2 linked regions of the Arabidopsis thaliana genome follow. The protein of the gene in region 2 interacts with the protein of the main gene of each other region in a pairwise test. Each region holds a gene or a part of one and is shown on either strand. Other genes may lie near its edges.

What was found.
Region 1: the proteins of AT3G07210 (region 2) and AT2G24020 interact in a two-hybrid assay, tested with the Arabidopsis thaliana proteins (one large-scale study listed by BioGRID).

What each region holds. Positions count from the first base shown.
Region 1 is NC_003071.7:10,217,052-10,221,305, forward strand, and holds AT2G24020 (Putative BCR, YbaB family COG0718), read right to left. Parts: upstream 2,418-4,254; 5' UTR 2,219-2,417; coding exon 2,158-2,218; intron 1,935-2,157; coding exon 1,792-1,934; intron 1,655-1,791; coding exon 1,554-1,654; intron 1,463-1,553; coding exon 1,423-1,462; intron 1,201-1,422; coding exon 1,129-1,200; intron 1,042-1,128; coding exon 985-1,041; intron 893-984; coding exon 818-892; 3' UTR 650-817; downstream 1-649. Other genes in the region: scpl23 (serine carboxypeptidase-like 23), read left to right, coding at 1-99, 167-272, 345-491; AT2G24030 (zinc ion binding / nucleic acid binding protein), read right to left, coding at 3,132-3,833, 3,943-4,077, 4,167-4,254. UniProt on the Arabidopsis thaliana protein: Participates with ALB4 in thylakoid protein targeting. May function with specific subset of thylakoidal proteins. Binds to DNA and alters its conformation. May be involved in regulation of gene expression, nucleoid organization and DNA protection.
Region 2 is NC_003074.8:2,292,248-2,297,835, forward strand, and holds AT3G07210 (uncharacterized protein), read right to left. Parts: upstream 3,434-5,588; 5' UTR 2,873-3,433; coding exon 2,610-2,872; intron 2,134-2,609; coding exon 753-2,133; 3' UTR 506-752; downstream 1-505.

The sequences.
Region 1 (4,254 bases), on a different chromosome or scaffold from region 2:
CAATATGGTTGTGAATAACAACTGGAAAGATTCCGAGTTTTCAATGTTGCCGATATACAAGGAACTCACTGCCGCTGGTTTGAGGATCTGGGTCTTTAGGTAAACCATGAAACTAGCTGCAAGTAAAGTACCTTTCGTGTCCTTTAACCACATTTTGTTGATGTAGTGGCGATACAGACGCAGTGGTTCCAGTGACTGGGACTCGACTTGCCCTCAGTAAACTCAATCTTCCGGTGAAAACTCCCTGGTACCCTTGGTACTCCGAAAAGCAGGTAATTTTCATCAAATTCGTGGTTCTATTCTTATTATGCAGAGCTAGTGATTTCTCATGGTGGTGGTGTCAGGTGGGAGGATGGACAGAGGTATATGAGGGGCTTACCTTTGCGACGATAAGAGGGGCGGGCCACGAAGTGCCGGTGTTGCAACCCGAGCGTGCTCTCACTCTTTTAAGATCGTTCTTGGCCGGCAAAGAGCTTCCAAGATCTTATTAGTCACACACATAAGATAGAAGGCTCCCTCCAAAACCCGAGTTAACTCGGTGTTTTCTTTTGAAATTTTTATGTTTCAAATCAACTTGATTTCATAAGACACTAAAAGCATTCTTGTATTCGAAGAAGATATATGTTGATACTAGAACAATTGTGTTGATACCTTGGGAATAAAATTGCAGAAAACCAAAAGTTTCAAATCTTTTATATATAATTCCATAAGAGTAGAGTACAAAGCTCTTTGCTTCTGCCTGACTGATATACAAACAAACAAAAAAAGCCGAACCTCTCATACCTGAAAGTTGAAATGAAACAACAAAAACAGCTTCTTACTTCATTCCTTCGCTGAGACCCGGTGGCATTCCTAAGCTCTGCGCAAGGTCACTCATTCTCTCTTTCATAGCCTGTGAAAAAATTCACAAAGTTCAATTAGAAGAAATGGATAGAAACAAATACTTTAGTTGCATTGTGATAAATGGTCTGCAAATTGCTATACCACCACACTCTTGGCGTGTGCGTCCTTGTATGCTTCTGTGACAAGTTGTGATAGTTTCTGCCAAAGGAAAACACACAACATCAACAAGAGAAACTGATGAATTAGCTTTGACTGTTCCATAACAAGGTACGTATGGTTACTCACTTCGGAACCTAGTTCCATTGCTGCCTCGGTAATATCAGTACGGATTGGTTGCTGGTTACCTGATAACGTAACCTGACACAAATTCATAAGGTTTAGGTCATCAGACTTTGTAACAGAAACAATAAAGACTAAACAAAGTTTTGAGATTCTAGAGTGGAGTTCTTGCCAAATCATCCAAAGACTAACAAATCAGAAAACACAGTTCTTACATCATCAAGTAAACGTTAGTTAATACTTCACTGATCTATTATGTGCATTGATCTATCTTAAGGCCAAAACAAGCTCTAAACTGACCTTGACAAGCTCGCCTGCACAATAACCATCAAATTCTGCGCTGCGAAATTGGAACAAAACCAACATGCAAAACTCATTACTCATAGAAGAAAACTTCCTCAAATTTTGTATGATAAATGTGCCGGACTTACGCAGCTAACTCTTTTTGAACACGTACAGCTTCCACTTGAACAACCATTTGAGCTTTCTTCACAGTCTCATACATATTCTGCATATTACCAAATATTCCTGCCTAGGAAAGATCACACACAAACTTCATTAGTTCCAAAATCATAAACTTTGAATCTTTACAACATGAAGCCTAACTTAAAATGTTCACCTATTGCAGAATCTGTTTGATATTTGAAAAAACCAATGTAATGTACCAACCTTTGATTGTCCATCTTCACTGTTATTATCTTTGTTTCCACCTCCAAATAATCCATTCACTCGAAGAGACCTGTAACCATTTTTAGACTTGTACTGCTTTGGCCATGTTCTTCTCTGCGAATTCAAGCTCGCATTTCCTGAAACTATTCAAACCAAAAAATTACTAAAGCCCATTTCAATCCCAAAAACACTTATAAATACAAAATTACGCTTCAATTCCTCCAATTATGGAATAGAAAAGTCTAATTACGAAAGATTAAGCAAATTCAGATGAAACCTAATGTACGACAGATACATAAAGACTCAAAATCCAGTGTCACGAAACCTTAAGCGAGAGATAGAAGTAGGGATTTAGGAGAGACTAACCATGAGAGAATGGAAAGAGCATAGATTTGGTGAAATTGGTGGTTGCAGCCATCGACGCCATTGTTGTACGAGTAGAGAGATATTAGAGAAGGGCTTTTTTTCTGAAATTCGAGAAGATAAAACCGGAAGCTAATTTTTTCCGGGCAACTTGTTCGTAGCTTCTGTGTTTGTTGAAGCTTTTAACCAATGATTTTGCGCCACGTCACTTTAACTCTTTTTTTGAGCTTAGATTGTTTTTGTACCATTCTTTTCTAGTGAAGAAGTCGCAACTTTAAAGTTTATACACTTTCAGTACGAAATTGAGTGATCAAACGTAAAATGTTCTTACATCAGATATTGATTCGATTTTCGAAAAATTCAATTTCTAGTATAGATGAAACTTTATCAGAGATTGTAACATGCTTCATTAAACCAAAAAAAAAAAAAAACATGCTACAATAGAACCATCTTTCGTGGTTCTATGTATGGGACATGGTCATATGTGTTGTGGTCTTGTGGAGCTGTATTGCGAGAAGAACTATTGATTGATTGTGGAGTTGTCTATATACCCTCTATGTATAGAGAGACTCACCCCAAACATTTGAAATACCTCTAGGCAAACCATTTTGGGCCTCTCCTGAAAGAAGACATTTATCATCGTATCATGTCCAAACAAACATACTCTGCTTGTACAGTTGTAAGTTTGTAAAACATATGATAAAAGCATAAGACAACACACACTCCAAAATGCAATCATGATCTATACACTTATTCTGGTCTCTCTAATGGCATTGGTTATTATTCTCATGATTCTCAATCTCACAACAAAAAAAACATCATGCAAATCTCCTACTGTCACATTGCATAAGAAAAAATAAAAATAAATTCATGAATTCAATCTCTGATTCCTCATGGTATATTGTCATGACCTAACAAAGGTTTTTTTGGTAAAAAAAGTTGATATAAAATAATCTAACAAAGTTACAAAGAATCTTCTATGACTTCTCCAAGCAATGAACCTTACCTTGTGTATCATCCATTGCTAGAGATACTGATTCTTTCTGTCCTGGATCAGCATTCAGAGATCTCACTGGGACTGTAATGAGTTTATTCTGCTGTTTCTCAAGCAAAGCCATGTGTTTTTTCCCAAGCGTATGATTCCTCATCGTCTGCTCAGAATTCGTCTGAATATTACAAGTTTTGCACCAAACCGTTTCCTTCTTTTTCTTCTCACCTTTTGTCTTCTTTCCCGTTGTTTCTTTCGCCGCAATTTCATCTACTTTTTGACCCTGCGGATTAGCATTTTCACATACTCTAATGGCTTCTGGTTGCGGTGCTGTAACGGAAGCAGGGGATAAGGAGGTTGAAGCAGCTTCAGGTGTCTCATTCTGTTGTGTAACAGCAGCCTTATGCTTTTTACCTAACTCATGATCCCTCATGACTATTTGACAATAGGTCCCAACTTTACAAATCTCACACCAAAACTTCTGGTTAGTTCTTAGCTTACCTTCTGCTTTCTTTCCACTGCCAAGTTTCCCTGAACAAGGAACCTTCGAAGAGACTATTTCTCCGGTTTCCAAAGACATCGCCTTTGCTTCTGATTCTTTTGCTTTCGGCCTTTTCACTTGAAGATCTTCGTTCAAACCAGTTTGAATATCCTCTGCTTTACGCTTTTCTCCTACAGGATCAGCTCTAGCCTGCAATAGTAATCAAAGAGAACACATATGGTCAGGATTTGTTATAAGCAAGTAAGGAAAGTACGTGGATAGAAAAGATGAGATATCACACTCGTAGTAAAACACTTACCAATACAATAAACTGCTCTTTGTTAGACTCCAAAACTGATGTTCCTGTAGCCTCAGGCATTTGCTGAAGTTTAGGCAATTGCATGGTACCAACACTGTCTGCTTTAGGCTTAGCTCCTATAATATCAGCTCTATTCTGCAATAGAGAAATCAAAGAGAACACATATGAAACAAAGGCTTATATATACTCTATCATTTATGTTTACCATTACTTAAAGAACTCACCAATACAATCAAATTCTCTTTATTAGACTCCAACATTGATGTTCCGGTAGCTTCAGACATTTGCTGAAGTTGAGGCAATTGCATCATT
Region 2 (5,588 bases):
CCATGTAAGTCTAGCTAATGAGATTTGTTTTTTTCTGCTGAATTCTAAAAATTGCGCCGTTCAGATCCTTTTCTTTCTCTTCTCTTGCAGGGATAGTGGTCTAGCGATTCTACCTCCAACGATGAAGAAATGTTGTTCATTAGTTGTAGTTTGTTATGTCAATATTGTTCTGTTTTGTAAGAGAAATATCTAGGAATTATGGAAGACCTGATTTTCTAATGGATATCGTTCATTGGTGATCTTCATTATTTGAGTAGTTCCTTATTGCTTAGTGATTGTTGAGATATTTTAGGAGATATTGTTGAATCTTAAGAAAAAGCATTCTACATCATAACTCATAAGCCTCTGTATGCATGTTCTCTCTCAAGTTCACTAGAAGGCAGTAATGGCATCTGCACATTTTTCTGTTGGTCCACAGTTACCTCTTATGAAAAGATTATTCTTTTGGTATCATTCCCATGAAATCATTGCTGTGCAGATCAAAGAACACATCCAACAGTCATGGCCCAATCTATGTTCTGATAGCAAAAACGAAAATACTTTTTTACTTCCAGGAACTCAAAATCAATGATTGCTTTAAGGGCTTAAACCCGATCGATTCAAGATTCTATGTTTCCTATTTGTTGTTTTCTTCAATATGTCTGCACAAGAGTTAAAATAAAATTGGTTATACAAGAATGAGAGATATCGAAATCTAAACAAAGATGTCTCTCTTTCTATGAAGGTGGCTCTTTCTCCGGTCTGTATCGACCTTAGAACGCCCATCTTGGTGAAGAACTAACAGCTCTAGGTCTAGGTACCGGTTTGATAATCTGTTGCTCTGAACTATTAATCCTTTTCTTCATGATAGATGAGACCGTTGGGCTGTAATAGTCATTACTCCTCTGTGACATTGCTCCTTGTGAATGCATCTTCTTCCCATGGACGAAGCTTCTCTGTTTCTCCAGCATTTCTCTTCTACCATTCAAACTCTTCTGAGGAGTTCCCCATCTGCTGGAGCTCACACAGCTTTGACTCCTTCCAACTCTCTCATGATGAAACTCGCTTTTTCTTGGAGGAGTTGGGTAGTTTCGGCTTTCTGCTGTTTCTGCAGAATACATTGTCTCTTCCTCGCTGCTGTATCCATGATTGTTATATACATAGTGAGCTGCTGCTGGCGGTGAACTTGAGATGACCTCACTGAGAGCACCATTTACTGAACCTGTCGAAGCAATCTGCGCATCTGATCCTTCAGAGACAATCTCAGCCTCTTCCACTATATGGTTACTCTGTAGAGAGTTGAGCTCAGGATGAAAGGTTATAGCTTTAGGTATCCGTGGAGGAAAGTTGATGTCCAAAAGGTGTACTTGAGCTGTCTCATTTCTTAGAGGACCAGAAGTCAACTTTGGCGATTCATATATCTCAGGGGTAGGGATACCCTGCGCATGAGTAGTAGTTCCGCAGACTTGTGGATTGGTTTTTGAGGTTTCTTCTTCTTTTTCTTCCTCAGCAGCGATAGAAGAGCTCGGATGAGTTTGATCTCTAGTGTTAGATGAAGATGGTGTTCCAACATCAGCAGAGTCGTTTGGCTTGAAAACACGGCGCATGGTGAATGAAGTACAAGAACGCTCACTCTTCTGACCAGAAGACATTAATCGAATGAGAGGCAACTTAGGTTTCGTCGTATGTTCATCCAAACTACCTTCCCAATGCTGATTCAGCCAGTCACATATTACTGGTATTGGTATACCAAACTGCATCATCAGTGTCTTGTTGTTATCTTTCTTCAAAGAAGAAGAGGAAGATGACGAGGTTGAGGTTGGTGATGTCGATAGTTTCCTCGGATCACAAATCATGAATGCAAGATTCCCTTGAACATCAAATCCAGCAGATCCAGGACTCCAAATCATTTCATCAGTTGAGAGTTTGATGAGATTGTCGGTAGCTACAACTAACTTTCCCTCGCCGATCTTGAGTTCATTCTGATTGGCATAGCCTAAGAGGTACACCACACTCCCTAGATCCAGGTTTGGTTTGGAACATGTCTTCAGGTAATGTGGTTGTTGTTGAAGTTGGCTCTGGGAACTTGAGTCTCCATCAACAAGGTCTAAGCCAACAATAGTGAGATCAATAACTGAACTCGTAATGAAAAACCTGCAAATGACACCATATAAAGATAACACTCATTTTCTGATAGCTAAAGAACAGAAAACACCATCATTGACCAAACAAATCCACAATTCAGATTGGTTCTTATTATGTTTGATGCAATCAAGACGTTTCCATTTTGGGAAATATCTGAACAAATGAATTTTCATGTTCCAATAATCACAAAATGATATATCAATGTTTTGGTTTAAAGTTTATGAAATTAAAATGAAAACTTACCAAATTCAGCTACAGATCCAGAATCATTACCATATAACATAAGTACAGTATAAAGCTCTTTTCTTTTAAGTTCTTTTGGTTTGACGAAAAGATATGGATTCATTTTTGAAAATTTGAACAAGAGCCAATTTTTTTGATGGCATTGCATCAAAATTTACCAGGATCGTGCAACCGACAACACAGGAAAATGAAAAATCAAATTTTGAATCAAACTCAAGAGAGAGTAAAGAGAGAGGTGGGACCTGTGAGGGAAGAGAGCAGCAGCGACACCGTTCTGAAGGCGGACCTCGGCGGTTTCGGTGGCGGAGATGGAAGGAAGATTGAGGTGAGTGGTCAGAAGAAGATTCCGGTGAATGAGGAATCCAGTTCCAGAAGTAACACCATTTGGTCCGGAGACAGAGATTCGAGCCATCGCCGGAGCTTTGCCGGTAAAAATGGAACCTTTCATCTTCTCGCTTTTGCCAACTCCTTTACAAAAGCACCATGAGTCCAATATCACTCCCATTGTCTCTCTATCTCTTGATTATGCTCTCAGATGGGTTTTGTGTCAAATTCCCTAATTTGGCAATCTGGGTTTTGGAGGAGAGTGTTTTGGATCTGAAAAGGATGGGAATTTAGGAGAGAAGTGTGAATTGGATGCGAGTTAGTAATAATGGGATTAGGGAGACACAACACATGTATGTGTCTGTGTCTGTTTGTGCTGTAAAAACATCAACTTTCTCCGGATTTGGTCTCGATGAAGACCCAAGAATGGGAGAAAACTCGAGAAGAGGTAAGTGAGAGAGAAACAAGAGACAGGGGAATCGTGAAATGAGTAAAGAGATGTGCTTCTTTAAGGAGCTAGCTGGGGACTTCTTCTTCTTCTTTTATCACTTTTATTTTTTTCTTTAATTCAAAAGAAAATGTATAAAGATTGGGGGAAATGTTTTCTTTATTTGGTTTAAGTGTGTCATTTTGTAAGAAGAAGCAAACAGAGGAAAAGTCTAGAGTGACAGAGAGGATCTTTGTACATGTGATGAACATGGATGGACTTTTTGCTTATTATGATTAGTGTTTTTTGCTTAACGTTTTCTTTGCTTGTCGATTTGTCTAATCATGGTTTCATTAACTTATATCTCTCTTTGTTATCAAATAGATTTGGTCATTTAACCAAATTGTAATGTATATGATTACCAGTTTTAACCATCTCGGCAAAAATGTAAAATTAAAACGACATTTCCATTTCAGAAATCTAGCTTATAATAAACTTGGAATAGTTACATGTTGTTAGATTGGTTCAGTTATGGTTGCAAGTCAATTTATTATCACTTATCAGCATTCAAGTCCAACTTTTTACTTCAAAACAAACAAAACTAGAAAATCCAATTCAATCAATTTTATTGGAGCATTTAAGTTAATCTCAAGTAGTTTAAACTTGAAAGAGTTGGATTCACAACTTATTGTATACACGAGAAAAAATGTAACAAACGATATTCCAAAAAAAAAAGTCAATTAAAGTGAACTTATCAGAATAACATTGTTCTTCATCATGTTTAAAACCCCAAAACAAAATCCAATTGCAAACACCGGTTTCTCAATGTACATCTCTCAAAAAAACATAGTAAACGACTGTACATAATGAAAATGGGAACTCTTTCTATGAACCATCGAAGACTCCAAGTATTCTATTACACTGGTTAGGGAGTTGAAAAGAAGTAAACCATAATGTGTCAAATCCGATCCAACATCAATTCCGTTAGCGCTTAAGAAGTCTTTTTGCATCTGCAATATCCTGCAATATAACAATAGCACCAAAACAAACTAGTACATAATCAACATTAACAACAGCTAGGAGCAAAAGCACTAGTCAAGAACTTAATTTAACCTTAATTAACAATTCGAGTTAACAAAGAAAGAAAAGAGTACTGAAAGTACCCGCTGCAGAAAAACTGCTTCTTTAGGAGAGGTAGGGAACTGCACTAAACCGATTCCAACAATTAATAGCAAAGGACACTACAACGTATATAGGTAGCTGGTGCAAAGATATACATTATTAATATTGACTAACTGAGAATAGCAATAAGCAAAAATGAGCACAACAGACTCATTACTAACCAACTATGTTTGGCTACGAGCCATAATTGCAGCCTGCAAGAGAGCAAACTAAAAGGCAGAGACAGCTACCAGCAGGCTCAAAATCTTGACCACATGCTTCATTGTCCTTGAAACAAAGTTTATGTAAGATTTGAGTATTGACAATATACCAGAAAAGAGGACTACACTAATGCATTTTCCGATTTCTTGCATATTTGGAGCTGACCATGAACGGGTGCCATTAAAGGATATCTATAGAAGTGAATTCCTTCAAATAACAAATTGCCAATTCTAAATCCATTACGCATAATTTCCACACATCTTAAGCAACTTATGTCCAGACCAGAATCTAGCATAGTCATGATAACTAAAAGAACAGTAAAATGCAACCCAAACCATCAAAATGGGAAAGGAAAAAAAAACGACTTTTCACATTTTCTTGGATCTCATAATACAAGCGGTCAGGAGCTCAAAGCCCTTTAAGCATAATTTGTAGAACCTGAATCTTAAAAAAAAAAAGAAACACAAATACATGATTTCCCACCGTTCCTCAGGATTTTAAACATTCTATAGTCAGATCCTCAGGAAATCAAAGCCATTACACAACACATTTCAGAACATTATAGGCTAAATGATTTGAAAACTTGAATCCTAAAATTCATTAAGCTGCCCCAAAACCAAGCTTCTACTAACAAAACAAACTACAATTAACCATCCGAATCAAACCATGCACCCAAAACTCGAATTGAAATTTGATATATCTAACAATGATTGAGCTGCCATCAGAATGAATTATTAGAAAATAATTTTGTCACGGTTCCTTCAGACCAGAGTAAACTCCAATCATCCGAAACTCAAAACCCTTGCGCAAAATTTTCAATCATCATTTGGCAACTTATTCAATCAAACCAACAACGAAAATAAACAAAAGGTTACATAAAACTAACCAAGCCTATGTTCTAAAGCAAACGAAATCAAAAAATTCAAACAATCAATAAGATGCTCCACTATTTGCGGGAGAGATGGAACCTTTAAGCTCACAGATCTCGCCGCCATTCTCAATGTTTCTTCGGCTGTTTTAAATAGTTGTGTCATTAGGGTTTTTATTCAGGTCTTAAAATCATGGGTATAATCGTCAATTTCACAAA